Regions from separate parts of the Mus musculus genome. Here all the other regions are reported to be linked to region 1. The links are microRNA targets in miRTarBase. Many come from high-throughput screens and were not tested one by one. Region 1 holds a microRNA gene; each other region holds the end of a gene's coding sequence.
What was found. Region 1 holds the annotated microRNA mmu-miR-301b-3p (CAGUGCAAUGGUAUUGUCAAAGC, at 2,033-2,055, opposite strand). A microRNA usually pairs through its seed, bases 2 to 8, with sites in the 3' UTR of a target mRNA and lowers its output. Matches are read on the target gene's strand: a 7mer-m8 pairs with bases 2 to 8, a 7mer-A1 pairs with bases 2 to 7 and ends in A, and an 8mer does both.

Region 1 (5,074 bases):
GGGATTAAACCCAGGACCTTGTGCATAATAGGCAAGTGTTCTACACCCTGAGCCAATTCAAATTCACAGAAGTGACTTAGCCAACCTAAATCCTTTGCGGCCCAGACCTCCCCTGATATGTACATGTAAGATATGTAAGATATGCACATGTAAGATATGTAAGATATGCACATGTTAGGATTCCTAGCACCTCAGGATGGATCTGCTGTGGCAACAGCTGCTGACACACGTCTACCCTAGCCACAAAGGAGTGTGGTTGCTTCTTCCCCATCAAAGCCCTCCGTCAGGCCTGAGACTCATTATGTATCAGAGCAGTCCCCATGGGTGCCAGGACTTGTGGAGCTAGAGTACTATTAAGGCTGATTTTCTCAATCTATTCCCAAAAGGGAATCTGGAAGCCTGGGCCTCCTCTCAAGGAGGCAGGCCTGACCACCTCCTACTAGGTTTTTGTTTGTTTGTAAAAGAGGGGTGGGTGCATTGAAACAGGGCTTTACCATGTAAATATAGCTCTTCTGGAACGTGCAGGGTAGACCAGGTTGTCCTTGAACTCACAGAGATCTACCTACCCATGCCTTCCCTGTGCTGCATTCAAAGGCATGGGCCATTGGGTCTTGCCGCTAAAGGTAACTCTGCAAGCACACTAAGGATCGGGCATCCTTAAAAATTCAGCTCCAGGGCTGGAGAGATGGCTCAGTGGTTAAGAGCACTGTTCTTCCAGGGGTCCTGAGTTCAAATCCCAGCAACCACATGGTGGCTCACAACCATCTGTAATGGGATCCGATGGCCTCTTCTGGTGTGTCTGAAGACAGCTACAGTGCACTCATATAAATTAAATAAATAAATAAATAAATAAATAAATAAAAATGAGCTCCAGCCCTGTCTGGAAAGCAGACATACCAGACACCTCCATGCCTCTCCTACTCAGCACATACCCTCTTTGTAAAGGAGCAAGCAGACATGGCTGGCAGGCCTACTCTGCAGGCTTCTTGTTCCAAGTCCATCCATCTGGCCCAGGCAGGACACTTCTTCTGAGCCTCAAGGTGTGAACCCAAGGTGTGGTTATCTCAGGAAAGGCTGAGTCCAGTTCTTCCCGAGGCAGTCAAGGCTAAGCAAGGTATACAAACCTTTTCCATACAAAGAGGTGAACATCTGTTTCTCTCCACAAGGTCCTGGAGTTCCTAGTTTTGTTTTGATTCTTCAGACAGCTTCAAAACTGAGACAATCTTCCTGCATCAGCCTCCAGACATGGGCTCACCAATCTTTCTTTCTTTTTTAATTGATTAATTAATTAATTAGTTAATTTGGTTTTTCTCAAAACACGGTTTCTCTGTGTATCCCTGGCTGTCCTAAAACTCACTATGTAGACCAGGATGCCCTAGATCTGGGTGATCCACCTGCCTTTGCCTTCCAAGTGCTGAGATTTAAGGCATGAGCTACCTACCATTCACTCACCGCCGCGCCCCCTGCAGCAGACTCCCCTATCTTAACCTGGGGGGAGGGGGCTAAGAGCTTGAGACTGGAGCCTTTCCAAATCTGGGGTCTCCCCTTTGTACTGGTTCCAGCCTTGGAATATGGTTCTCAGCATCCACCTTATCCTTTTAGCTAGAGATAGCTATCTCTATCTAAGACTATGATCCAAGCACTGACCCTTTTGTTCCTCAGGCTCCTTAGCTGGCCCGACAGATGCCCTTTCATCATTGCACTGCTTCCCAGAGGCCCACAGTAGTGCAACAGGGAAAGAGTGTCCAACAAGCCTGTCAGTCTCACGGGGTGGGGCGGGGCATGGGGAGTTGGGGTGGCTGGAGTGGGATCTTAGACCTAGAACGCATGCCCACCTGGGCGGAGCCTCGGCCTGAGCAAAGGATGCCCTCTGACCCCAGAGACACGGGCCTGGCTACAATCTCAAGTTTCCATGGAGAAGAGAGTAAAATGAGCAGGGGGAGGGTACGGCCTGCAGGCCTGAGGGGCCAGGCCTGGAAAGGGAAGAAAGAAGGAACAGTAGGTGAGGTGGTCTTCGAGGCTGGTCCCAGATGCTTTGACAATACCATTGCACTGCTTCTCACAGCACAGTAGTGCAACCTAGTCAGAGCACCCGCAGCCAGCAGGAAATCCATCGCCCTCGCTGCACGCAGGGCTGCGCTGGAAATTCAACCACCATGGGTGGGTGGGACATCTATCCAAGCTCGGAGAACAGACGGGATTCCAGCCCGGATGCAGTCCTCTGGACTTATTAACTTCAGGGAACTCAAACTTTCTCTAACAGGCTTCTGATTCTGGTGAGGTACTCCAAGGAGGGAGCTGAAGGGCGAGCACCCGAGGGGGCTCAAACACAAAGGAGAGAGGCCTGCGCTCAGTTGCAGAGGGGAGCACAGTGGGACTACTTGTACCCTGTTTCAGACCAGAACTAGAATAAGAGGGATACTTCACTCCTTGCACGTGAGGCCCTTGGAGTCCGAGATCCGGTCCTTGGTCCATTCCCCCAGTATGAGTTCTGCACTCTATCCTAACAGATTCTCCTGCCTAGAAGAGCAGAACTAGGGCTTCCTGGCATCTGGAGTTTCCCTGGCCTCACCGCACACCCTATCCCAGACCAGTTACTCACGTGGACAGACACCTCTTGTTCTCACCAGGGGGACAAGGTGAAGCTTAGTGGAAGATCCAGGTAGGCGGCGGCCCCGTCATATCTGGACAACCCCGCACCTCAGCACCTCGTGGCGCCCTCTCTCCCTCGGCTCCATCTTTAACCATCTGACAGTCCCGAGGGCCGAGCCCCGGGCCTCAAGGCACAGCGCCAGCCTCATTGGCTTGCGCCTACACCAAGCTTTGCCTCCTGCGCACCTATTGGCTGCTGCTGGAAAGATTTCAAAATAGCCTCCAGGCTCCGATTGGCCAGGCGCCCGAGTTTTGGCTCCACCGTTTTAACAATGAGTTCTACAAACACTTTCTCCTCATTCATAACTCTTGAAAAGGAGCTCTGTCCGCCTTTTCCCAGCTCATTTCTCTGTAGTTATTATAGTGATACTCATGAGGGCGCGTCCATGCTTACTACACAGCTCACCAAATTAGCGAGGGCTCTGAGATCCCGGCAAAGTGTCCTTTGGCCAAGCCAGCGGTTGAATGAACCCCTAGGGGATGCTTCGTATTTCGCGAGAAATTTGTTCATTGCTCCTCCAGGATGGGACATTTACTTAAAAACCGTGGCCTTCCCTCTTTCTGTCCAACTTCAGAGCATCGTCATCAGGAAACCTCTGGCTGGGCTGAGGAGGCCCTGGCACTTTTTGTAAGTGAAGAAATGCTCTGATGTCATTGATGTCATTGAGAATGTGAACCACTTTATGGGTAAGAGTTCATTAAGTGACCTTTCTGAGCTAATATGTCCAAAGATACACAGCACCTAGCACCCAGAACCTGAGGTGTTCTACTCAGTTCTGTCAGCGAAGGGAAAAACAGAGTTTTGCAGCTGGCGTCTGAGCTTTACCCCTAGTTATATCCATATGAGACAGGGAATCTTTACCCCCCAGCTCAAAGGCTGAAAGAAAATATTTTTAAAGCAGACAGAGCTGGTTTTCGATCTTCAAGAACTCATTTTGTCCACTTAATTTTAAATGTAATTTTTTGTGTATGGGTGCTTTGTTTGCCTGTCTGTACCACCATGTACATGCCTAGTGTTCAGGGAGGTCAAAAGGCTTTCTATCCTCTGCAACTGAAACTATAGAGGATTGTAAGCAAACACATGCATGCTGGAAATGAAACCCATATGCTCTGGTAGAGCAACCAATGCTATTAACACTGACCCATAATATCTCAGTCCCTACATTGTTTTGTCTTCTTTGGGAAAAAAAAGAATGCTGGTTTTTTGAGACATCGTATATCACGGCTGGCTAGTTGAGAACTCACAGAGTAGACCAGGCTAGCCTTGTGCTTATGGTAATCCTCCTAGGTTTTTGCAGTACTGGGGATACAGCCACCACACTGCATCGCTCCACACAGATACAAAATAAAACATCCAGAAATTCCAACATTTGGGAAGTGGAGAAAAGAGCCAGAAGTTCAAGACCAGCCTGAACTACATGAAATACTGTCTTTAAAGAGAGGGGGCTCACCAGAAAGAAGGCTCAGTGGTTAAGAGGGTTGGCTGCTCTTCCAGAGGACTCAGGTTCCATGCCCAGGATCCACAAGTTGTCTCAAAGGCATCTGTAACTCCAGTCCAGTATCGTCTTCTGGTCTCTAAAGCCATTGCATGCATAGACATATGGGCAGTCAAAACACCCATACACATAAAAATAAAAATCAAATGTAAAATTAAAGTGTTTTGCTGCTGCTCCTGTGCTTTTCATTTGTAATGTTTTGCATTCTGCATGGAAGCAACTTTTCTGCTCCATGAGTTTGGGGGCTGGAGAGATTGATGGCATGGCTGTCAAAATCGAGTACTACTCTTGCAGAACTGTTAAAATTGGACTTAAATGAGTTCCCCAGCCATACTAGATGGCTTACAGCCACCTGCAGTCCCAGCTCCAGGAAATCCAACACCCTCTTCTGACCTCTGAGGACACCTAACTCATGTTCATATTCACACACACACACACACACACACACACACACACACACACACACACTTTAAAATGGCATTTAAAAGTTTGGCAATAGATCAAGGCACATTAGTACACATCTTTAATCCTAGTACCTGGGAGACAAAGGCAGGTGGATCTCTATGAATTCAAGGAGACCAGGCTACATAGCGAGTTTCAGATTAGCCAGGGTCGCATGGTAAAACCTGTCTCAAAATAAAAGTTTGTCAGTGGAAAGACCAAGTCTCTTACAGACAGGGGAGTAATGGTCCAAGACATAACTCCCTCCCCTCAGGATTCAAATTGACTACAGCTTTTCTCTCATCCACACATTAGTAAAGTCAACTGATTTCTCAAATCCATGTTATCAGTTCTTCCCACACTATCCCAAGTCCCTCCCAGCCAACTGTCATCTCAGCCTCTTAGGATTTTTCCTGGCCCTCAGGAAATCATCCTACTAGTTCCCCTGAAGTCCTTATGACCTACTCAGTCAAGCCCAGGAAATC
Region 2 (5,074 bases), not on the chromosome of region 1:
GGGAGTCTGCCTTTTTCTTTTAGTTTTCTCCTGTTGTCTTTTTAATATTTAATGCCATTCTCTACTATCTTCTGAGCCTATCAAAGCAGACCGAGGCTAAGGCAGGGTTGCAAAGAAAATTTTATCAGGTGTGCTATGAAGTAGGTTAGTTGTACCATGCTCGAAGTGCCATGTGATCATGCTGGAACTTAGCTGCCCATTCCTGTAGCTGAGATGGCTGTTTTGAGGCTTCCACTCTATGTTAACACATATCAGTGCTGAGCAGTACAGTGGCTGAGGTTAGTGACTGGGAATCCCCCACTGTCTAATCCCTAGCATTGAAATCAGTGCCTTTTGGGCCACTTGTCTCCAAGTGTTTGAGGGTTGGTTCTATATTTCCTTTGAACGTGTAAAGAAATAGAGATGAGCCCACGAAATGATGCTTTTTCTTCTTTTTCTTTCTCCTGTTTTGTATAATTTAGGAAGTTCATCAAGAACGGATCGCATTGGAAAACCAATTGGAACAACTTCGCCCAGTCACAGTGTTGTGACATCCTAGAGGCTTGAGTGACAGCAGGTGACCTTGTCTGCCAAGATCTTCCTTTTGAGTGTTTAAGCCCAACTACTTGTCATATATGTCTGAATGTCAAAAGCTGTCAGCAGCACAACACAATCTATATGACTTTCTCTTTTGCACTTCACTTGTGTATTTTACAGTGGTAGTAAAATATGTCTTCAACTGATCATTGCACTTAAAATATTAATACTTCGGAGGATAAAGCAGAAGGGTCATAAGCTCAAGGCCATTTTTAGAAGCTTGTTGGGACACTGTCTCCAATAGAAAGTGAAAAGAGAAGTGTGTGTATAGCTCAGTGGTAGAGTGCTTGCCTGATATACAGGAAGCCTCAGTTTAATCCTAAATCCCATTTCAAAAATATACTTATCATTGGAATTTATCTCCCATTTTAACCACTTTTAGATACTGCTCCTTATTTAAGTTACCCTTTTAGCAGATAATTCGGAGCATTATTTATTTAAAGAATTTATAATTCTACAGTACCTATTAATGCTGTACTTCCAGGATGCTCATGCCCATTTTATTCTTATATGTATGCTACATACAGTATGTTGGTTTCCCGAATAGTGTGCATTCCAGCTGGATAGTCTTAGGCATGATGATAATAAAATCAAAAGCTGGAATACAATTAAAGCATCAGATTTACACTGGCACTGTGCCCTCTACCACTATATGCCAAAAACTGCTTCTGTAGTACCATTTTGATATTATGTCAGTTATACATAATATCTGACTATTGTTTTCTATTAAATATCAGAACCTTACTGGGTCTTTACACCTCTGTGAAGTAGAGAATTTTGGCAATGAACTGTTTAACTTGGCCAATCTAGGCCATCAACCTAGATAACTTAGTCCTTTTCATGTAAATTTTTGTGCAAGCACAATCTACTTTAACTGCCTTGCCTGACCAAATTAAATAAATAGTTGCCAGATCTCTGCTTTTATCCTGCATGGGATAACATCTTTGTAAATGTATAAGCTTGGAAACCACCCAACAAATATTAGTAGCTGGATAGCTACCTATTTGTTGTTGAATCCGGGTATCCAGGCTGAGAAGGGAAGAAAAATAGCCACTAACTCTGCAACAATCCTTGGCTGTTGTCATTGTTGTCTTTATTTTAGGCTGGATTTCAGATGTGTTGCTTCTGAAGACACAATGAAAGAATGCAATCTTCCCACCAGCTACATGACTACTTGTTCTCTGTGAAGTGTACTCTTGGGAAGTATTAACTTTATATACAGTTCAGGGGATCTCAGCTAACTCTAGTGGAAGTGATACAAAGCAAGCTTAAATTACAGAAGCAACTATCCTGTCGAAATGTCGTAATACAGTCCAGCTGAAAGTAGGAAATGACTGACCTGTAGGGTTATAGGGTCCCTGAATCACTGATCTTCAACAGGGCATTTTAATATTAGCATTAGTGTGCACAGGGTACTTTTGAAATGGTTTTGGATAGATTTACAATATGTAAGATTAAGCTGTTGATTTCAATAGAGCTGAGAGCTTTTAGTAAAAATAGGCATTTATTTAATATTTCCCTGTTCCTTTGGCAAGCTTTATCAGTAGCTTAACAACAGAAGAGAAGAGTTCAAACAGATGATGTTTTTTCCAAAGAAAAACAAATTGTTGACTCTCTTCCATGCATATTTTAAGGATTTGAATCTGATTTGATTTGGAAAGTCATGAAACTTGAACAGTTTCTGCATTTCTTTTTTCCTTTGGCTGCCTTTTGTTTGTTTGTTTGTTTGTTGTTCTTGTGGGGAGGGCTCAGGAATGATTTAACCCCCCCTAAGATTATGGTTGGGTCAGTACAGATTCCAGGTGACTTCCTTTTTCCATGTGCCGGGATGGGAGGGCTGTGTTATGATTACAGCATGTTTGGCATTTTGTACATTCAATAGAGGAAAGACTAACATATGCACTTTATCTCAAGATCTTCCAGTGCATATACACTCACGTGGGAGAGCACTTCATATCCACCAAGCAGACATAACCTAAGGAATGTTAGTCCACTGAGCAGTTAAAAAACACTGACATATTGCTTCCCTCATGAAGTAAACGATACAGGGAACTGGTTGAAGAGATTGGAATTTTATTTAGTTGGCTTTGTTTTCCTTAAAGGATAAAACTTGCATTGGACAATCAAGGACAATGAAGCCTCACCAATATATTTCTTGTGGTGCTGGGATCAAACCCAGGACAGCATTCATCCTAGGCAAATGCTGGACCATACCCTCAGCCCATCACCAATATTTTAACTGAGGCATTGCATTAAACCACACACCACACACACACACACACACACACACACACACACACACACACACACACACACACAGTATTTTTAGCTGGACTTTTGATCAGTTGAGTAGTTGCTTATACATAGATTCTTAAAAGAAAATACTTGTGTTTCTATTAAATATACACTACTAAATACATGTTATGTGACTAGTATTTATCCTTTACTTCTGTGTTTTCTTAGGATGTACACTTTTAGAGTTATAGTGCCTGATAATATTTTTTGAGAGCCTTTAATATGATATAGGAAGGCAGATACATTGATATCACTTGTAGAACTACTTTGGAATTTATCTCCATTTTCCACAAAAAGAAGCTTCTTTGATGAAGGAGGAGAGATGAAGAGTTGCTTGTTTTGCAGAATTCTATAGCATGAAGGTTAACCTTGTCTCCATTCATGGGGGTTTAATTGCCCTATTGCTCAATGGTGTTCTTGCATGGGGATTCTCCAGTCCTACAGATGAAAGCAAAGTAGGAAATGATCATGGGCTTATTGGGGCTTTTAGCATCTCTAGTAAGTAGCATACAGCTTTGGCTGGCTTTCTATCCACAAACCTAAAGCAGAGCTTGAATGATAAATAGCAAGAATGGATGTGTAATGTGACAATCAAGGCAGATATTTGTTCTAGTTGGAAAGACGAAGCACTTTATAAGCATCAGACAAGTGTTTGGGACTAATTGAGAAACAAGCCAGCTTAGATGGAAGCTGTGCTGTGTGACTATTAGAACTAGGCAGGACCAGTGCTCCTCTTTTATAGCTAGCATGGGAAAATCCCATCCCTAATAATTGTGGACTCTTGGCCCAGGAATCCACAATAATAGCTAGTGGTAGAATTGGGATGTAGCCTGATTATATAGATTCCAAGGTAGTCCTCTGTCTATCCTAAAAGTAGATTAGAAAGCCTTTTTTATTTATCATGTTGAATTTTATTGACTTAATTGGTCTGTAGATATGAAAGCATCTTCTAAGGAGTTTTAGATTTAGATATTTCTCTCCGCTTTAAAAAAAAATAAAATTTGAGTGGAAATAATGTTATTAAACCATTCTTCTAATGCTTCACTTTTGATGATGCAGTATGTTCCTTTAAATCTTGGCAGAACTTTCTAAAGCTACTGCTTTCAATAGATTCCAGCCGCATATTCCCATGGGCATATTCCCATGCTTTCTCAAATAGACTACTGTGATAAAAATGAACTCAATATGTAGTAGCTTATACTTTTCTCCAGTATATTGTTGGTCACTCACAAATGATTCATTTGAACACATTTTAGGGATAAGTAATCAAAACCATGAACTTTTATTTGACTTCCCACCAATGTCTAAACTATTGTAAAATAGTATGATTCTTTAGCCGTGTTTTGACTGTCTAGTATTTCTAAATATTTCTCTGTATCCTGGATGGTCTCATAACGTTGGCCATAATAGGTACATAATCAGAAGATCACTTAGACAACATCTGATATTAATGTGATTCTTGCATTCAAGACACTTGCAAATGTCTTTTTCTAAGCAGTAGTTAGAAAGAGCTCAATTATAGTATTAACACCTTAAAGCCAAAACATTTGTTCAACACAAACTACCATCACACCTCTGACTTGATATTATCATGAGAATGTGGATGTACAAGTGTAAAAACAGGAATGTACTATCTCTCCTGAGCAGATTGCCTGATGGGATTGACAAGGAGGCTCATTGGGTTGTGGTTTGAACATCGAGGGTGTGAAGAAAATGAAGCAGTGGCTAAAGAAATCTTCTCCTCTCACAAAATACAACACTAGTGTCTTTCTTTTCTCTTTCTAGCTGAATAGTTCTATTTCAAATGTTCCCTTAAAACTCAGACTTCAACACATCAGTTAAATTTGTACTTTAGTTGTGGGTGTTAGAGTTTTTGTGTCATGACTCAGTGTGGTTCACATTCCTAGTGAGAAGCAGAGATCTGGAGGTGTGCAGTCCTCAGCCTCACAGCTTCCTTCCCTTTTCAGCAGGCTGATGGAGACATGCCACCAACATAGACAGGTTGGTCACCGATGGCCATTTTCATAAATATTTCTGTGGGCCATTTTGCTTTGCTTGTTTGTGAAAAGAATTGTCTCTAATTATTTGAACCTCTGAAGAATTGTACACAAGGAGGATCAGACTTTAAAACTATCCATGTGGATTCTGAGAGCTGCTGCCCAGCAGAAGTCTTAGAAATATGCCTTGAAGCAGCCGTTGTGTA
Region 3 (5,074 bases), not on the chromosome of region 1:
GGGAGGTGGTGCCCACTTCCATGGAATGCCTATTCAGATTCCTACTTTCTTAAAAAGAAATTTAGGATCATTTTATTTTATTGTATGGGTGTTTTGCTTGTATGTTTATCTGTACCCCACTTGTATGAATGGTGGCCATAAAGGCCAGGAACAAAGGTCAGATCCCCTGGAACTGGGATAGCAGGTGGTTGTGAGCTACCATGTGGATGCTGGGAGTTGAACCCAGATGCTATGGAAGAGTAATCAGTGCCTTTTAAGTATGAGCCATCTCTTTAGCCCCCACATTTTCAAATTTTCATTTAAAATTATGTGTCTGTGTCTGTGTGTATTTGTGCATGTGAGTGTGGTGACCTAGTATTGCATCAGACGCCTTGGAACTGGAGTTAGAGGTGGTTGTGAGCCACCTGACAGGGATGCTAGGAGCTGAACTCAGATCCGCAAGAGCAGTACTTGCTCTTAGTCACTGAGCTGCCTCTCCAGCCTCACATGCCTACTGTTGGAACTAGCCTGCTTCCATGGTACTTCCGCTGGCATTTGTTTTTGACATGAAGGATGACACTGCAGAGGCAGGCTTAGAATACTAGGCCTTTCACCTTTTCTCTTTTCAATGCAGATCCTAAATTTGACCCAGGCCCTGAAAGACAATAAGAGCCCCCTGCACCTCGTCCAGATGCCACCTGTGATTGTCGAGACGGCCCGCTCTCACCAGCGGTCTGCAAGCGAATCCTACACACAGAGCTTTCAGAGTCGGAAGCCCTTCTTTTCATGGTGGTAGCCCCAGAGGCAGGCAGAAGAAATCCTGCAGGTGACAGGCTGGGAGGAAGCCTGGAGTCCCAGGTTCGCAGAAGCCAGAGAAGCTGGCGGGCGCACAGCAGAGCCTTTCAGAGCCCTTCCTCTTTGCTTGTCACCTCCCTCAGGGCTTTCCTACCCACAGGGAGAAGCACAATGGGGGGACAAGAGTGTTCCTGGACCTTCAGAGTGTTGGGGAGGCTCCTGTCCAGGCAAGGAGCTCAGGCGGCTGAGGAGGAGCCACTCCCTCCTAGCATTTGGTGGCTGGTTGGGAAAGTCCCATCTCTCCCTGACAACCCTCTCCATCCAGGTTACCTAATATATTCTGCATCAGAAACCAACAAAACAAAAACAAAAGAAACAAATTTAAATGCTTGTAGGAAAACCTACATTAGATCCTCTGACATCAGAAGCCCTTAATCTAGAACCTAAATTTGCTCAGACACAGGCGCTCTGATACCTAGCACTTGTTTACTCCATGAACTGAGCGGTCAGAGGTCCATCGCTGGCCCACGGACAGAAGCCATTCCTTTCTGGTTTTGCCAAATTGAGCCTCCTCTTGCCACACTGGTACTGACTTCGTGTGGCAGTGAGCAGGTTCATGCTCTGCTCCTCTAAGGCTCTGCACACAGGCTTTTTCTCTGCCCTGCTGTAACTTGCCCGGCACTCATCTGAGGTGGGAGGGGCTAGCCTTGGCAGTGTGCTCTGCCAGGAGTGGTTGTGTGACGCGGAGGTGATTGACTTGGCCTGGTTGCATGCTGGGTGCTAGGAGGGTTCTGTGGGAGCCTGGCACAGCCTCACTCCTGGTCCTTAGTTGCGGCCTTCCCTACCTTTCTGTTTGGTAGTCTAGTTTCCCCCATTTTAAAATGAGAAGTTCAGTTTGGGTTCTGGAGTGGCTCTCAGTAGGTGTTGTGGGTCAGTAGGTTCATGGGCAGCCAGGACAGCATCTCTGTTCTTCATGTGTTAACTGCTGCTGCCTGGAGAGAACAGGACCGTGTTCTGCCCCCTAACCGGCGTGCCCCTTGGCTCCTGCCTTCCGTCTTGGGATGGTTTCTTCTCAGCTTCTTGAAGAGAGGCCTTCGGACAGTTCCCCAGTGCCTGCCCAGCTCAGCGTGCATCTTCCTGCTTCCATGTCTTCTCCCTTGCCAGGTGTTTGAACCCTTTCTACACCAAAGCAGAGAACTGACTTCAGGAGGGAGTGAAAAGGGGGCCGAGAGGCCGTAGGCAGCGGCAGTGGTCACACCCTGTGCTGTGGACCCTTGAGTGTTCTCACACTCTACAGTTGGTCAGTCAGCCTTGGAAAGAAATGTCCTGAAGGCGTGAAACAACCAAAGACCTGGAGTGAGGAGCACAACTGTGCCTCAGCTGCTTGCCGGGCTCCCACCGCCTAGAGGCAGGGCTGAAGACAGCCTTCTGTCAGGTGTGGCAGGCTGCTCCCTGCCCATTCCAACCCAGGAGCCAGCTTGCTATGGGCTTTCACTCAGCAACATGAATCTCCAAGCACTGGATATGCATGCCCAATGGACAGTCGCTGTTGTTTGCCCCATCTTGACAATCCCATCCAGCCCACGTGGACTCTGGCCTCAGAACCTTGTTTGAGAGAATCTCTCTCTCTCCTCGCCACAGGAGCCAGCAGGGGTCCAGGTGTGTGCCGGTCTTCACAGATGTTTCCACACCAGCCGGGTGGCGAGACTTCCCCCTGGAGTGCTGGAGAGAACTTAGTCCTGCCCCAGACCAGGTTTGCCATCAGGAGGAAATTGGGTCCAATGGAAGAGGGGGCCGGTGCCAGGCCCAGTGGGCAAGGGTGCAGGCAGCCTTACCTGCCTCCCTCCCTCGAAGCTTGTACTCAAGTTGCCTTGAATGTGGACTTGGGAGTGCCAGGAGCCCAGAGTGTCAGGTACTTCAGAACAGCCGCCCCTCTGCCAGCCTTAGGCCTGTCCCCTGTGTCTAGGAGCTGAAGCTGGCTGGTGAGCGCTGCTGCCCTGTTCTTCTAATGCACTGTAGAAATTGTATGTATTGTATTTAAATCAATGCAAATGTATGAATAACAAATCCAGTTCTGACCTCTCTGTCCAGTTTCCTTTGGGGGAAGAAAGACAAGATAAATGCAGTTTTAAGGACAAAGACACATTTCTGTGGAGTTATGGGGACTTGACTCTTGAAAACCAAGTGTTTTCTTAAGACATTTCAAAAACTGACATGAGTCTGCATTGATAAAACACATACTTGCTTTTGGTATGAATATTTACTATAGTGTTTGCCCTGGCTACTTCCTTACAGTCAGAATTCTGGGATTAGGTATAGAGCAGTGGGTTGCAACCCTTTTGGGGGGGGGGGGGCGTTGAATAACCATTTCACAGGAGTCTCCTAAGACCATCGGGAAACAGATATTTACATTATGATTTATAACAGTAGCAAAATTAGTTTTGAAATATGAACAAAGTAATTTGTTGGGGGTCACCACAACATGAGTAGAACTGTATTAAAGAGTCGCAGCATTAGGAAAGTTGAGAGCCACTGGTTTAGATGCAAATTTAGGAGAGGTTGGCTTTTATCCATGGCCATCAGAGGGCAGTCCTGCCGTATAGGATCATCACTGTTCCTGGGGGATGGGGGTTGGCAAGGAGAGGGTCGTGCTAATGAGCACATAGTCTGGAATAATGGGAAGAGCTCTTACTCCTGTGTCATCAGATCTAATATATTCTGCATCAGAAACTCAACAAAACAAAAACAAAAACAAATTTAAATGCTTGTAGGAAAACCTACATTAGATCCTCTCACATCAGAAGCCCTTAATTTAGAACCTAAATTTGCTCAGACACAGGCGCTCTGATACCTCGCAGTTGTTTACTCCATGAACTGAGCGGTCAGAGGTCCATCACTGGCCCACGGACAGAAGCCATTCCTTTCTGATTTTGCCAAGTTGACCCTCTTCCTCCTCCTCCCATCTCACGCCTGTTACATCAGTCCTGACCCTTGATGGTACCGTCTGACAGATGATGCTCCCAGCAACTACACACACTACCTAGGACCCAAGTGCTGCAGTGTGGAGCTGATGTAGGCTGACCTGTCTCCCCTTCCCCTGGTCTGCTCCTTTGGATCAGGCCTATCTGCAGAGACCTCATTTTTTCTTGCACCCTGCCCACCTCTGGAAGAGGAAGCTGTAGTACCAGGATGCCCAGGGCTGTAATTACAGAAGCACAAGCATCCAGCCCAGATCTATGTCCTGGAGAATATCCTGTCCTCCAAACCTGGCTATGTCGGTTTTGGGATTCTCCCCTTCTGTAGCACACTCTGACAAATCTTGATGCAAATGTCTTTATTTTCCACTTAAACAAGTTTCCCTTTTGCACTGGCCTGTGGCACAAAACAGATGGCTGGGTGGTGACATTAACTGTCAAGTTAGTGAGATGCAGAGATGGTGAGACACTGCATTTGAGTGCATAATACTTTTATTCCAGAGGAACGCCATGCAGCCCAGTTACACCTTTAGGTCAGAAAGGCTGATGCGTGACCAGCCTCTATTGCCTCCCTTGGTAAGAAGGACCCACAAGTGCAGAGTCCAACAGATGCTGGCTCTGAGCTGAACTCAGGGCATTCCAATTACCACTTTCTTCTTCACCTACACAGGGCCTGCTCAGATGTCCTTTTTACAACTCCATAAGCCCTTTGGCCAAAGTCCCTGCAGTGTTTGGGGAGGACCTCCCCACCCTTCACCAGTCAGTGTCTGATCTGGTGGAGGTAACCTGTGGGGCCTGGCTTATTCCAGTTCCGGGGGGCTCTAGCACTTGTTCTCCGGGAGTTCCCAGACTGCTCGCTGGAGGCCGTGTCAGTGGTGCTGGCCTGGGGGTCAGACGCTGTAGAACCAGGCTCCGGCACTCTGTGAAAACAAGTGTGTGATAGATAGGTCAGTGTCAGCACAGAGAGCAGGAGGGTCTATAAAAGGGGACGGTCTGCCCCCAAGAACTGTATGGCACCTTTCCAAAACTGAACGTTAAGAGGCTGGGGCTGGATTGGGGGGTGGGACACTCAACAAGTCTCTCCCCACCTTCTTTTTCTCCTTCATAGAGCCCTGGCTGTCTGGAACTCACTCTGTAGACCATCTGCCTCAGACTCCTGAGTGCTGAGACTAAAGGCATGTGCCACCACCGCCTGGCTCCTCCCTACTTTCTCAGCCTGGCTTTTATGGCACTGTGTAAGACAGGCATAAATGACATCAGTTAGTGCAAGCAGTGAAGACTCACTCACCATCTCAGACCGGAGGATCTGTTCAGACTATGAGGGG
Region 4 (5,074 bases), not on the chromosome of region 1:
CTCCAGAGAGCGGGCACCTAACGAGTCCACCGCTATCCAAGGCTGCAGGCGGCTCTGTACTCTGTTAAGTACAGTACCTGTATCTTACTGCTGGACTTTATGCCTTGTCAGTCACCATTGTCTGTGGTAAGAGGGAATTTTGAATAGTTGAGTGAGGGACCTGGAAACATGGCTCAGTGGTTCTCAGCCTGTTCTTCCAGAGGAGCCACACCCTCACATTGCAGCCACAGCCACCTGGAACTTCAGGTCTAGGAGATGTAGTGCTCTCTTATGGCTTCCTAGGACATAGGCATGCAAAAGGCACACAGACAGACATGCACAACACCCATACATGGAAAACATTTTAGTTTTTTTCACAATGGTAATTAAGTGAGGTAAGCTATACTGGACCTCCTCTTGAAGAAAACTTGGAATGACCTTAACTTTATTACAGCTTTTTGTTTCTTTTTCTTTTGCAGCTGTGGACGTCAGAAAACCAGGGGGATGAAGGAGATGCTGGAGAGGGAGAGAACTAATGTCTGTTGTGCTCTGTGATCTGTTTGTGTCACTTTGTATCCTCCACATTATGTCCCTTTGTGCGATAAACAAAAACAAAAAATCGAATGTGGACTTTCGATTTTTCACAGCCTAAGCCTTGCAAAGATGGTCCCTGGGATGAACAGCTGGTATTTGTATCTAAAGCTCAGACTGGTCCCTTAATACCATGGTATTGTGAAGTCTTGATTTTGATCAACATTGACAAGGATTACTGTGTGTTTAATTTTTACAAACTGAACACTGTGATCATGGGGTTTTATAACTTAGCAGAACTCTTTCTGGTAGGAAAAATAGACCTGAATTATGTGTAACTTCTTGGAAAGTTTAATCTGATATCAAAATGGTCACTGAAATACAATTCTGTTGTAAAGCTGTACAGAAAGTTCTAGAGATTCTGTGGTGATGCTGGGACTTGGTGAGATGCTGACCACCGGCATCCTGAGTTTGGTAACTCACAGTAATTCTGCCTGTGGTTGAGGGCTTACCAACCCTTGATCATTCAGGGCTGTTGCCACTCAAAAGTTCATGACCACAAATATCTGCAGTGTCTTCTGAGGAAACTCAAAACCTGAAAGTGAACTTCTTTGGCCGATAATTGGGCTGTGTCACCACAATAAAAAAAGGTCCCGTGCTCATACCACCTGTGTGACTAAACCCTTTACTATAGCAGTGTGTTCCTGATTAGCAGCGTGTGAAAACAGGGCTGTTACCCCCTAGCTAAAGGAGAGGGGGAAGGAAGAGAGAAAGCAGTGTATCTTACAAATGGCCAGACCAGTTTTCTGGATGATTCTTTAAGAATAATGTGTTGAGGCGGCCTCTCGCCTGAGGAGCACTCATAGTCTTGGGGTTCTTCTAGCTTGGAGGGTGGAAGCTTTGAAATTTAACGTTCTTTCCGCCCTGTCCTTCTGACTGTTGACTTTTTTCCCTCTTTAAATTTACAGCTTTCTGCTTCCTTGGGTGGTTTTCTTTGGAAGCCTGTATTAGTCAGGACTGTATGGACAGGGCGGGGTGTTGAGCACAGGGTGAGCAAGCTTTGCTTTAAGGTGTTGAGAAAGAAGACCTTCCAGTGCCACCACCCTGCCTTCCTCCAGTTCTCAGCACAGTTGTTCTTCATAGTGTGACTCATCCAAAACAAACAAACAAACAAACAAAAGTATTTTGAAGTCTCCATGATTTCCCCCTATTGCACTCAGCCCTGACAATCTTGTTAGTGCCTGTCACCAGACCCTCCAGTGTACTCATCTAGCTTCGTGCTCAGACACGTCTCAACAAGACCTTAGAACACAGGGAAGTTGCATGGACACTACAGTCGAGACAACCAAGAACAGCCAGGCCTTCAGTCTCACAGTCTCACCCCTCTACCTTGACATTCCATGTAGCCGTAGACATAGTCCATCTGTTTGTCCATCTGCTGAAATATGAAAAGAATTCATGCACTGATTTAAACCAAAAAAAAAAAAAAAAAAAACCCACAAAAAAAATCTCTTCTTTCTAGCTGAACAAAAAAAAATGTGCAGTTAATACTTGGCGCTTGACAACGCAGTAGTGAGTGTGGAACCAAGCCTGTCTGTATATCTGGTAGCTCTTTGCTCTGGTTTTTTGTTTGTTTGTTTGTTTTGTTTTTTCCCTTACCAGTATTCTGCCTAATGTTTGCTTCTGTGGTGGTTCTATTTGCCTAGCAAGCACACCCGTGATTGTGAAAATAGTGTAGCAAAAAAGAAAAGAAACCCCAGTTACTGATGTGCTAGATCCGTGTATGTCTAAACATTCTAGTTTCACCTTACACAGAGTAATCAGGAAAATGTAAAAACTTAAAGTGAAATAAAACATTTTATCAGTTAGTTGCCTGTGGATTGATGTGTCACCGCCACCCCTCTCGTTCTCAGGACCATTCCCATCCCGTTTAATTTTGGCTTCTTCTTTAAAGAGTAAATAGTTTTTACTTCACCCCTTAGAACCAGCAGTAGAGATGTCTTAGGTGGCTGTCTCTGATAAGTTGGATGTGATCACTGCCGGCTTGAACCAGAGCAGCCATGATCGCCTGTGCAAGACCCTCCCTCGCCTTTCTTTTCGAGGGGGTGGGGCGTGTTCCGTAAGGTCACATGAGCACTTGGGCTGGACAGGCACAGACAGCACTGCTGGTGGTGTGACCATTAAAGGTGCAGGGGACCTGACAGTGATGCAGCTGCCTTAGAGCCCACTATGCTCCGTCCTGTCAGTAGCCCAGTAAAACTCAACTGGTTTGCCAAACTGGACGTGGGTGGAATCCTTTCTTCAGTCTCAGTATCATCCCTATCTGGAATGAACAGATGTGTCTTCATGTCTCCCTAGGAAAAGGCCTGTGATACTCCATTCACCAAACCAAAGATGAGCCTGGAAGAAGTAGGTAATAGCCCCACCTATAGGTGATAAGACATATAACTGAGCCAAGTGTCAGGGAAACCCCCAAGTGGCTGTTTGCCTCTGTAATAGGGTCTTCCAGGTAAGTGTTATACCCCCTCAAACAAGCAGCTGCTGGACAAGAAAGTATGTTACAGTCTCGGAAGGTATTTGTGGGTCAGGATTGTAAGCAGGCAGTAGTGTCAGTTGCAGTGGACCATGCTGTAGGTAAAAAGACATGCGGCTGAGGCCACGCCGCCAGTCCAGAATTCCCCTTCCTAAAGAAGGAATTCCAGTGGGAAGAATGGATGTTACCCGCTGTCTGTGTGTTAAGTGGGGGAAAGGGAGGGATGAGGTAGAGGACTGTTTTATACAACTGATGCACCTCGGATCTAAACATGTGGAACCCGCAGGAAGAGTTGCGAGTGCAGAGGAAGGGAAGGTCCATGGCTCAACACGCAGAGGTGGCCTTAGTAACAGCCCTGACAGGCAAGTGCTAATCAGGTTATTGTGCCTCTGAACAACTTGAATGGAGAAAGCCTAAGGCTTCATGGGCAAACCCAAAATATGTACCTGCTGCTAAGCCAGACCACCCGAGTTTGATTCCCAGGCCTCACATGGCAGGAGGAAAGAAGAGAAGACCTCTGACCACACATGCACCATGATGTGCATAGAACACACACCCTCCACAAAAGGATGAAAGATGAACAGCTTGTCTGTGAGGCTGTGGAGCATGGGGGAAGTTGGGGTGGAGCTATGTCATGAAAATGGAGATTACCCTTCCTTTCCTGAGAAAAAGGCTGATGTCGGCGACAACAGGGAATTGGTCCCTTGTGGACTGTCAGCTCATGTGGACTATTAAGGACACTTGGTTATTTCTTGGAATTGCCACAAATATTTGGAACTGGAAGGCGTTGAAAAGGGAGTCGTTAGGGCTGGAGAGATGGCTCAGTGGATAAGGGACCACTTCAGAGGACCCTTATTGAATTCCCTTATCATGACTTCCTGTAATTCAAGTTTAAGGGGAGCTGTTGCCCTCTTCTGGCCTCTACAGAGCAGGCATGCACATGATACACAAACATACAGGCAAAACACATAAAGGAAGAAAAAAAAATTGCTTTAGAGGCTGGAGAGATAGCTCAGGGGTCAAGAGTACTGCCTGATCTTCCGGAGGATGCGGGTTCAATTCCCAGCACCCACATGGCAGCTCACAGCTGTAACTCCAATTCCAGAGAATTTGATACCTCACACTAATGCGTTTAAGATGAAAATGGAAATTCTTGGAAAAGGGTATAACTGAGAACTTGTTGCAAAGGAATTGATTGGTGCACAATGCACCACCTGGATCAGACAGTTGATGGAGTTAGAAGCTAGTTTAGCAGTGACCCCCCCAGGACTGGTATGAGCCTTTAGTGGGTTTGCTGGTACAAGAAGTGGATCTGCCGGGCAGTGGTGGCGCACACCTTTAGTCCCAGCACTTGGGAGGCAGAGGCAGGCAAATTTCTGAGTTTGAGGCCAGCATGGTCTACAGAGTGAGTTCCAGGACAGCCAGGGCTACACAGAGAAACCCTGTCTTGGAAAACAAACAAGAAACCAAGAAGTGGGATCTGACCTGTAAGGCAGGAGAGGCTGGCAGGTCTGAGTGATGAATAGTGTGCACTTACAGAGTGAGTGTTAAGACACCTGAGAGGTTCTAGGGGAAGGACAAGCCCAAGGATAGCTTTTCGTGGTTGCTTAATGGGCAAATGGAGTATTTGTATTGAGCTGGGCGGACTGGAAACTAAATTTGGTGCCTTTGAGCTTCTAAAACAGCAGTTCTCAACCTGTGGGTCTGCGGGTTGAATGACCCTTTCACAGGGGTTGCATGTCAGATGTTTATGTTATGATTCATTACAGTAACAAATGAATAGCAAGGACATCATTTTATGGTTGAGGGTCAGCACTCCACGAGGAGCCGCTTAAAGGGCTTCAGTGTTAGGAAGGTTGAGAGCCACTGCTCTGGAGGGAAGGCTTTCAAACCATGCGTTAGCTCATTCAAGGGGTACACGGTCCAGCGAGAGGGTTGGCGTGGCAGGGGAAGAGGATTCAGTGATTTCACCCCATTTGGAAGAAGATTGGACCACCTCAGCCCTCCCGCAGAAGTGGCTAAGATGAGGAA
Region 5 (5,074 bases), not on the chromosome of region 1:
TAACCAGTGAGCCATCTCTCCAACTCTGAAAAATATACTCTTAAATTTATATAAAACAAAAAAACAACCTGCAGTAGATTCGCCCCAAACCTGACTGTGGATGATTTTCTGGTCCTGCAATTTATTACCCAACTGGATCAAACAGGAATAAAAGGCAAAAATGGGAGAAGACTTTGCAAAAGAGAAAAATGGGCGAGAAGTAATCTTCCATGGAAGAAGAGATGATGGAGCAGGTATCAAGAGAACACAATAACTTCTGAGTTAAACACCGGCTTGTCTCACAAAGAACCTGTCATCTTTGCTGATCCTTCCTTCTGGCTGTGTGACATTTCTCTAAGATGACAACTTGTACCCTAACAAAACCAATGGAATCCAAGACGATTTTGCATCTTGAGTTACTTTGACTACAAGCACACCACACAACAACACAGACCAAATCTGTAGCAGCACTTCTTTTCACTTTTACACGCCCATGCACGCCCATGCACGCCATGGCACAGAGGACAACCGGCAGGAACTGGTTTCTCCTCCTACCTTGTGGGGTCCAGGGACTGGGAACCATTCATCAAACTTGGTGGTGAGTGTCTTTACCCACGATGACTATCTTGCTTGCCTTGGGACAAAATGTTTAGGTCACAGGAAAATAACTCAAAGAATTTACAATGATTTAGCTTTCATTTCCTGCTTAGATGTACACTTCCTGTGCTTCTAAAGATCATTAGATTCTTACATTTACATTGGTATAATTTTTCTTGTCGAAGTCTAGGAAAGTGAGAAGCAACCTGTCAGTTTGTCTGCTGTAGACTTATTGTTATTCAAATAAAGTAATATGTAAGGAAGTAATAGATAAGCTAGTAATAGTAAGAGTAATAGCATGGTCCTAGTTTGACTATGAGCTTTGCTTTCTTTTTTTTTAAATATATTTTTTTATATATCCTTTTTATCAGGGATAAGGACATCTTAGTGTTTATAATTAAAAATGAAGTTTGGACTTGTAATGAAAGGCCTCTTTTCCATTCTCAATATTCGGTAAATATTAAACAGCTTGTTCTTCTATGATCTGAGACTAAGATACATGAATTTGTAGGAGAGCAGAATTTTACCACATATGTTGAACTGGTTGTTCATAATGACACAGCACATGAAAAAAAAACCAAGAAGCTCCAAAGGATGGAGTAGTTCTACTTACTAGCATATCCCTTCCTAACACACCCTGAAAACAGTTACTAAGTAACAGTTTTAATACGTGGACTATCCACTAATCAAAAACAGTGAGATGAAAAGATTAGTGTTTTGTGTTATTAGTAACAACTAAATCCTAGAAATATTTACATAGTATCTAGGAAATAACATTTACTTTTCTTAAGATTGCTTTTTAAAGCAGTATTTTCCGTACTATTTACTTAAGAGTCACCCTAGTGGTAATTTGGAAAAGAAAACTTGTTTACCACTTGAGGGTATCCTATGCTTAATGAGGTAATAATGCCTTGCTATGTGGCTAGATTCCATAGCAACATAGGCTGCAGAGACATAATTGTGTTTGAGAATTACTCCAAATCAAAACAAACAAACAAATCACACACATTCACAGGTTCCTAAAGTAATCATGCATATCATCAATTCCTAATCAATTCCTAACGTCTAAATTAGGTAAAAGGCTTCATAATTCTACTGTTTCTCTTACAAAGTCAACATGTCCCATGGATGAGAGACTAAAAGCCAGAATGCTGAGTAGAGAGGCAGACCCCTCTCCAAAACCATCCAGCCTTACCCTGGGCATAGTGTTGCACACCTTTAGCCCTAGCACTTGGGAGGCAGAGGCAGGAGGCTCTCTGTTCAAGGCCAGCCTGGTCTACACAGTGAGCTCTAGAATAGCCAGGACTATGTCTATGGAGAGAGACCCTGTCACAAAACAAAACAAAACAAAACAAAATAACCATCACACACACATCCAGAAGATCCAGACTGGTTTCTGGTTATCAATCAAATACATTTTTTTCTAAATTTTCTTTCTACTCTGAAGTTTTGCAATTTGAAGATAAGATTTCTATCTGTTGGGACTTTTTTTTTTTTTTTTTTTTTTTTAATGGTTTTTTGAGGCAGGGTTTCTCTGTATAGCTCTGGCTGTCCTGGAACTCACTTTGTAGACCAGGCTGGCCTTGAACTCAGAAAAATGCCTGCCTCTGCCTCTTAAACCTTTTTTTCTTTTTGGAGACAGGGTCTCACTATGTAGCCCTGGCTGGTCTGGAATTCACTATGTAGAGCAGGCTGGCCTCTAACTTAAGAGATCTACCTGCCTCTGTTTCCCAGGAATAAAGGCATGCATCACCACACTTGGCCTCTGTATTCAATTTTAATCTCTTTAATTAGGTTTACCTATACTGTAGGAGGGCTGCCGGGAGGTGACCCTTATTTCCCTTATGGGTTAAATACTAGCTCCTAGATATACTCTGCTTGCCTAAAAGCATTATCTAAGTAGCATTAAAAATAAGAAAAAAGCTTTTATATAATATGGCATGTAAATTTCATAATAAGTTAGATCATATTAAAACTTAGATCCTGGGTTTAAAGAATTCAATAGATCTCATGTAATTACTAGGGTTTAAAGCTTTAAATTCAACTTGAACATGAAACTTTAATGTATCAGAATTAGTTAAGATGTGACAGTGGTCAAGCCAGAACAGCATCAGAAGCAATGGTGTTTAGAACTGGAGCTGATACTATCTTTGCTAATAACACTGAAAATTTGTTACTGTCAGGAGGAATGGCTACATATGAAACTTCATTAACTCAAATCATCTGAAGGGAACATTTTCTTATTCTCTGAGACTAAATTTCTTAGGAAAGAAAATATGTACATAAATCCTCACACTAGCAAAGCCCCTTTCTCTCCCAAATAAAAGAACTTCACTCCCCTAAACACTTAAAAGGTTATGTAACCTACACATACTAGTTTTGAAAGGGTTTATAAGCCCCCAGTAAACCTTTAATATTTAAAGAGTAATACATAAAAATTAGCGTTTTAGTATAAACTACCTTAGATACCATTACTGAATCAAGAGAAAAACTACTGGTGTTTCAATAGGCCATTCTCATGCTAAGCTTCCCAGTGAAAACATGTAATTGCTCAAGAAAAGAATGTATTTTAATATGGTGAAAAGGAAGTTTAATTTGTACAAAATCAGTTCTTAGATTTTCTACATACACTGATTGGTTGATATGGCTACTCTAAAATTGCCTTTGAACTAGAAGGATCTAGCTTGCTGTATTATTTCTCTACTCTATCAAAAAAGAAACTAGACACAAAATGCATAGGGGGCAAAAATATGAAAGACTTCAGACTAAATATTAGAAAAATATGAAAATTAGTTAAAGGTATTTTAGGGGTACAGAAAATCTATGTCTTTACAGTAGAGTTTTAATTGTTACACTGTCAGGATTATGGACAGGGGAGTTACATACATGAAACACCCAGGAAAGCGGAAGTACATGATACACTGTTGTTGTTCAGCCAACACAAGGCTACAAAGCAAATTCCTCAGCCTATATAAACTCAACAAGTCCCTTAGGGATTTCCACCCTGTTTTGCCCAAATAGTAACAAATCCTAACAAGTACAAATGAAACATCTGAAGGAAAACATCTTTTTCATTGAATAAGAAAGCTGTTGTTCATATGATCTTAGAAAACTCTGAATTTGTAAAATTCATTCATAATTTAGTTTAACCAAATGTCTTTTTTTTTAAACCCCTTTGTATAAAAATTTACCTGGTGAGGTTCATTTCCATCACAGTCACATGGTCTAGTGCACCTCAGAGTATTTGGACATTATTAAAACTGTCGTTTTCCAATGAAGACATTTAAGAAAAGAAACACTTCTCATACAAGTGACATGATGTGAGGCTACTTATACTCTGTATCACACTTTCAGAACAAAGGTGTGATTCAGTGAAGTAAAACACCACTATTGTACAGTGTCTATTAAAACGAAGTTCTCTACAGAGGAAGCTACAGTATCCTGAAGACTTCTCAAGAGCTAGCTGAGTACATGCACCTTTGGGCTCAACTTTTGTCTCCTTCCTTCTGTCTTCTCCTGTTCTTGCCAAAGTGCATTTCTATCATGCACATACTGATGACATTTCTCACTACTGTGTCTAGCAGGGAAGTGGCTGTGTATTTTCAATGAAAACCACTACAGCAGTGCCCCTCTCAGATCATTCTGGTACTCAGGGTTAAATGACATCCAATGTGAAATTCCGAATTACATCCAGAGCTGCAGTATCAAAGCCGCACATATCCAACATGCCTCTATCGTCTGGGTCTGCAATGGTAAAGCCATTTGATGTCATCCCACAAACAATCAATTTAGCAGGAATATCCATTTTCTGTAGAGAAAATATAAGAGAAAGTAACTACATATGAAATTATATGCAAGAAAAGCAAACAAAAAAATCCTTGAAAATTAAGACTAGAACAACCATGGTTCCTCCTACCAAAATGCTGGATTACACCAAGTCCAACTTCCAATTTTAATATATACAGTAAATAGATTGTGCTCTTCAGAACTCTAATTCTGTCCCCTCTCTCTGTCTGACTTCCTGGTCCACCTCCCATCTGTTTCTCTTTATTCTTCTTAGCCATCCTTTGCACTATGGACCAAGCCAAGACCTTGCACATACTAGGTTAGTTCTCTACCACTGAATTACTGAGCTATATTCCCAGTCTCTCGGTATGTATTTAAAATCACTAAATATTTCGGAAGAAACAATCAATTAAAGTATAGTTTTGTCAGTTATTATAATAAATCTATTAAAATGTTTTTTTAATAATTAAGAAATTAAGGTTTTTGTTTGGATAAACTTTCTTTGAGACAGGATTTCATGTAGCTCAGGATGACTGCAAACCTGGTATGTAGGTGAAGAAGATCTGAACTTCTGATACTTCTGCCCCGCCTTCCAAATGCTAAGACTGTAGGTTATGTACCACCATGATCTTATGCAGGGCTGGGGATCGAGCCTCGTGCTTCATGTATGGTAGACAACTACTCTACCAGCCTTTATTTATTCATTTATTGT
Region 6 (5,074 bases), not on the chromosome of region 1:
CAACCCAGGGGGGCCCCACCCACAGTGGGCTGCCCCCCCACCCCCGCCATCCATCACTAAGAAAATGTCCTATGAGCTTGCCTACAGCTGGATTTTATGGAGACATTTTTTTTTCCAACAGAGGTTCCCTCCTGTCAGATGATGAGAGCTTGTGTCAAGCTGACAGAAACCTTGTCAGCACAACCCCTCTGTCCCAGTCTCACATCCCTGGAGGAGAACGATTATTTTTGAACCCAGGACAAGCCTCTAGTTTGTTCTTCATTATACCAGGTTAACACAAGGCAGGCACGAAATCAGTACTCACTAAATGAAGCCTGAGGTCTTCTTGTCTAAGGAAGTGACCTATGCAGAGGCCTAAGCTGATCCCTCCCCTTGACAAGTCAGCCCCATGGCTCCCATCCAAAGAAGGAAGACTTCAGGCAGGCTGGGTGCTGGTGGGGGTTGGGGGGCGGGGGGCGGGGGGAACGGAGGGGGCGTGGCTTCCGGAAACACTGCCTTTGGGGAGCAAGCACACGACTTTATGTAGGAACCTTGGGAAACTGATGGAGGTCGAGAAAGGAAGACTGATTCCCTCAAGCCATTCCCATCTCCTCAAGTAGTCTCCTGCCCTTTCCACCCCCAAAGAGAGTCTGTCTTTGAGTATAGACGCTAAAGACACAACATGCTGAACTATAAGAACTTCTCCAGTGATTTTGGCCACCCATTGCCTGACACATAGGAAGTACTTCCTGGATGCTCATACCCTATCTGAGTATCAGGCCACATACTGGGGAGACAGAAGTTCCCATTTAACCTGTCCTGATATTTCTTACCATCCTTATTTTATAGAAGAACCAGAAAGCCAAAGACCTTAAGTCATGCCCCCACCCCCACCCCACTCACAGCTAGGAAAAAGGGTTCAAGTCTAAACCAACTAAGTCCTGAATCCACCTGCCACCAGTCCTTGAACACCTAGAAATTGCTGTCTTCCCTGCAGGGGCATCCCAGGATCATCCCTCCATCTGTGGCAGACAGGAGTTCTTCAAGCTTCTCTGTTCTCAAATGTAATTTGTCAGTTCTCCCTGAAAAGATCCCTTTGATATTCCTGCAGCCCATCCGCCTGGGTAGGCCACAGGAGCAGAATCAAGGGATACATACGGATGCTTATTGAAAACATTCAGTGAGCTAAGTTTGCAGGACGCAGCCCTGGATGCTCCGGGTCCACGCTTGGAGGTTTGGAGTCACCCTCCCCCACCTCCATCTTTTAATAGCCTTTTCCATATTCATTGCTGCCCTCTCCAGATACTTCAGACATACCCAGCACATGGTATATCTGCTATCTGCAGAGTCCCCAAAGTACCTTCTCAACAAATGCTCACCCAATACTATAGTATATTTAAGAGATTTATTTTCCTTGCTACTGAATGGAGGTCTCTAGAAAGGCAGACTCATTCCAGGCTGAGGCAGGCACTGCCTTTGCTGCCCAGTGGCCTCCAGCAGGAACGTTTTAATACATCACTTATTAAAATGGACCTTCAGCCTTGGCCCAGGGCGCGGGGCAGCTCCAGGAGCTGGCTGACCACATCCACACACTGCCTCCTTCTGACCCCTGATGCAGTCTCAAGTTGTGCAGGATGATGGAGATGGGCAGAGCTTGCGGAAGACACACCAACACAAGGACTTTTAAAGGCTGAAGGACAACCGTTGAAGCCGGAACAGAGCCAGTCTGTCTGCATCTTCATCCCAGATGGTGGGCTCTGGGTTCCAATCCTGCCTCTGCAGCTATCAAACTGAGGCGCTTGGCAGGAATTACCCTCTCTGAGACACGCTATCTACTGTGCAGCCAGGTAACACCACCCATTCTTCTGGGCTGTTGTGAGTCTGGTGTTCAGGGAAAGCTTTCTTGCTTCCCTGAGACCTCAGCTTCTTTGGTAACTGGTAAGTGAATGTCACTGGGTTTCTAGAAGTGCTGAGACAACCACATGAGATGGTACTCAGTGACTACAGTACCAGAAACCACATCCCTAAAGCTACCTTCTTGCCTGGCCTCTGTCCCTCTCGGCAGATTATTATTTGAACAAAAAGCAGGCCCTAGCTCTAATCCTTTCCCCCAGTAACCCCCTCGGCCTTCTGGGGAGGGGAGCAGTACATTGCATTTCTTGGCTCTAATGGAGCCTATAGACCTTCAAGTCCAAAAGGGAGTGCCTGGGGTCAAGAGGGAAGACAGCCAGATTCAAGAAGAGGACTGTGCGCCTGGGGAAATGAAGTTGGCATCCGCTTGCATCCGCAGGCTGGGCACTGCCAGTTCCAGCTCCCCCATCAGTCCCAGTAATGACCACAGGATGAAGAACCCCAGGCTGGGACCTGCTGAGGCTGTCAGACTTAAGAAGGGGGATAAGACATTTGCCCTCCTTTCCCTGGGGCCCCCTGGAGCTCCTCTTCTGCAGTCCCCCCACCCCACCCCGTGGGGACTCTTACCTGATGTCTGAGTCATACTCAAGCTCCTGTCACTGTGAGCTGTGTTGTGACTCCCTGGCTGACAGCTTTAAAACAAACACATTAAAAGCTCCAGGCAGTGGGGTTTCTACATGCAAAACATCCCAAGGGTTGGGGGAGGGGTAGGAGGCAAGGAGGTGGGGACACAGGACCTCTTCCTTGAGCCAAAACCCCTCCTCCCAAGTCCTCTCCCTACAGAACCTGAACCCCTCATCACTGCCTCCAGTTTAAAGAGAACTGGAGCTACCTCCCCACCCTGCCCAACAGACTTTTCCTAATGGGTGATTAGAGGCAGGTACAGCAGGTGCTTGGAAACTTTTGGGACTTCCCCCCCCCCCCATGCATCCCCAGAGAACAGACTCATCCTCAAGCATGTAACAGTAGGCTCTAGTGGTAGAGACACGTATGTCCATAACTGGGTCTCGGGTTGGATGTTTAGTGGATGCTAGCGGCGGCCCAATGTGGAAGGTTCTGGTGTGCCGAGGATTGATACTCCTCTTCTTGACCCTAAGAGGCAGCAGCTGAGTTCATCGGTCTCTGCAGATCAGGCAGGTGATGTTTACAGAAGTTCCAGTTCCGAGAGTAAGGCAGTCAGAGCTAGAACCTGAACCCAAGTCCAGTCTCCCAGCTTCAGTCTCCACAGGACTGGCGGCCTCCCAACCCAACAGGATGGCCCAAGCAAGCCTCAGGGAATCCAGAAGGAGCCATTTGCAAAATTCAAAGTCCACTGACTCTGCCATTCTTAGGGGATAGCCTGACCCATCCAGCCCACTGGCTGATAACCCCCCAACAACGCACACAAACTGTTTCATCCTACAGGCCAAAGCCACCATCTCTGTATTCCAGTCCCTGAGAAACAAGGCTAACGAAAGAGTAGACACAGGAAGAGTTCTTTATTGTACACTGGAGAAATAGCCCTGTGTGCTGGTTCAAGGTGCAACATACAGAATAGAGAATTAAGAAAAGAAGGAACTGGGAGGGGTGGGGACCTCTTGAGGTCCAAAGTTGCAAACAAATAATTTAAAAGAACAAAAAAAAAAAGGTAAAAGATTCCTCACGCAAGAGGCATTTTTTTGCAAATACCATGCAAAACAGGCAGCTGGCGAGCCTTAAGAGAACCCCTATAAATAACAGAAAAGACTCTCCAAGTGTTCCCACACAGGACTCAGAGCACAGGGGACAAAAGGAAACCAAAATGCCTTTTGGCGGTTCAAGATATTTGGCACTCTTGTGATTACATTTGTTGTTTGTTTTTGTTTTTTTTTTACAGTCCATTAAAGAGAATGGATAAAGTGACACAATATTGAAGAAGAAAGAGGGGTTCACTCAACAGAGCCCCCAGGGAGGCTAGAAAAAGCTCAAGCAAGTTTGTCTTTGTTTTTCTTCTTCTTCTTTCTGACATATAAAACCCACTGTTGGTGTTAACCTGGGCAAAGAGCTGTACTGCAACAAAGAAGCGCAAGCTTTTCAGTTGTCTCTCGAAAACAAGACCAGGAAGGGGCCTTCCCAAAGCATCAGTCCGTAGAAAAGTTACTTTCTGCTTTAAAATGGGGTTCATTCAAAGATGACCCAAGTACAACAGTATCTACAGAGGTCATTCCCCTGCCCCCAATTTTCTTTTGTACATCCAAGAATAAACAACATTAAAAAAAAAAAACTGGACTAGACCGCATGTCACATCCAAGTGCACAGATGAAATTATGTAAACATTGGGAACAGCCAAATCAGCAGAGAAGGCAAGCACCTTCACGTGGTCGGTGCTGCTTTCGGGAAGTGGTTCAAACTCCAGAGCTATAATTGCACAATATTTACCATATATAAAAAGAAACAGGTATTAATCTTGACAAATAGCTGCAACTGAGACTTTTTTCTTTTATATGTGTGTATATAGTGATTTTTATTTTTTTTATTTTATTTTTTTACTTTTTGTGTGTTTTTTTTTAACTTTTGTTTTTGTAGAGGAGCCCAGAGCCACCGCTACCGCTGCTACCACCACCACCACCACCTCCACCACCTCCACCTCCTCCTCTTCCTCCTCCTCCTCCTCTCCACCTCATCTGTCTCCCGGCCTGACTTGAGACACAAGTTGTCGATTTCATCGCAGGTAGCAAGCTATTAATAAATTTCAAAGTGCTTTCTCCCTCCTCCTCCTCCTCGTGCTTTTTGTCAGTAACTGTCACAGCCCGCCACTCTTCTTATTCTTTCCCTCAACACATTGTCTTTGGGGCAGTTAGACACCAGGGGGTGCCTTGTCGGTCATGGTTTTCAGCACGTCATCAATCCTATCATCTTCAATAACAACTGCAAAAAAAAAAAAAAAAAAAGGGGGGGGAGGGGAAGAGAAATGTGAGAGAGCTTGGGCTAGCCAGGGGTCGCAGATACTTTGTCTATCCCCATTATGGAGGTGCAGGGGAGGGCGAGGAAGGAAGGCTGGCTGTTCCAAGCAGGGTGAACAGCCCCATTGCCCTAGGCTCCCTTCCCTGCCTGGTTCTGAACTGCCCCACTGCCTAGCCCTCATCCTAGATGGATTCTAAGAAGGAGCAAGCCAGAGGGAGCCATCCCAGCTCGACTGCAACCCGATGCAACCCTTTACAAAGAA

Region 2: miRTarBase lists Reps2 as a target of mmu-miR-301b-3p. Seed matches in the 3' UTR shown: 7mer-m8 at 671-677 and 7mer-m8 at 726-732.
Region 3: the mRNA of Pi4k2a is a reported target of mmu-miR-301b-3p. The part of its 3' UTR that is shown has no 7-base or 8-base seed match.
Region 4: miRTarBase lists Ywhab as a target of mmu-miR-301b-3p. Seed matches in the 3' UTR shown: 7mer-m8 at 1,721-1,727.
Region 5: the mRNA of Ro60 is a reported target of mmu-miR-301b-3p. Seed matches in the 3' UTR shown: 7mer-A1 at 3,803-3,809.
Region 6: miRTarBase lists Camk2n1 as a target of mmu-miR-301b-3p. The part of its 3' UTR that is shown has no 7-base or 8-base seed match.

Annotation. Positions count from the first base shown.
Region 1 is chr16:17,122,388-17,127,461 of GRCm38, forward strand. It overlaps Mir301b (microRNA 301b), which reads right to left and starts at 2,109; the gene lies at 2,013-2,109. It overlaps 2610318N02Rik (RIKEN cDNA 2610318N02 gene), which reads right to left and starts at 2,815. Exons shown (of 7, transcript NM_001358255.1): 1 at 2,603-2,815. It overlaps Mir130b (microRNA 130b), which reads right to left and starts at 1,755; the gene lies at 1,674-1,755.
Region 2 is chrX:162,412,999-162,418,072 of GRCm38, reverse strand. Reps2 (RALBP1 associated Eps domain containing protein 2) reads left to right here. Exons shown (of 18, transcript NM_178256.4): 18 at 462-5,074. The coding sequence ends at 530. Among named protein-coding and RNA genes, the nearest start is that of Reps2, 230 kb to the left of the region's middle.
Region 3 is chr19:42,119,180-42,124,253 of GRCm38, forward strand. It overlaps Pi4k2a (phosphatidylinositol 4-kinase type 2 alpha), which reads left to right. Exons shown (of 9, transcript NM_145501.2): 9 at 614-3,039. The coding sequence ends at 775. It overlaps Avpi1 (arginine vasopressin-induced 1), which reads right to left. Exons shown (of 3, transcript NM_027106.4): 3 at 4,096-4,669. The coding sequence ends at 4,510. Among named protein-coding and RNA genes, the nearest start is that of Avpi1, 7.3 kb to the right of the region's middle.
Region 4 is chr2:164,016,211-164,021,284 of GRCm38, forward strand. It overlaps Ywhab (tyrosine 3-monooxygenase/tryptophan 5-monooxygenase activation protein, beta polypeptide), which reads left to right. Exons shown (of 6, transcript NM_018753.6): 6 at 459-2,377. The coding sequence ends at 515. Among named protein-coding and RNA genes, the nearest start is that of Pabpc1l, 6.5 kb to the right of the region's middle.
Region 5 is chr1:143,753,511-143,758,584 of GRCm38, forward strand. Ro60 (Ro60, Y RNA binding protein) reads right to left here. Exons shown (of 9, transcript NM_013835.2): 9 at 1-4,384. The coding sequence ends at 4,232. Among named protein-coding and RNA genes, the nearest start is that of Glrx2, 16 kb to the left of the region's middle.
Region 6 is chr4:138,456,420-138,461,493 of GRCm38, reverse strand. It overlaps Camk2n1 (calcium/calmodulin-dependent protein kinase II inhibitor 1), which reads right to left. Exons shown (of 2, transcript NM_025451.2): 2 at 1,368-4,776. The coding sequence ends at 4,706. Among named protein-coding and RNA genes, the nearest start is that of Camk2n1, 3.8 kb to the right of the region's middle.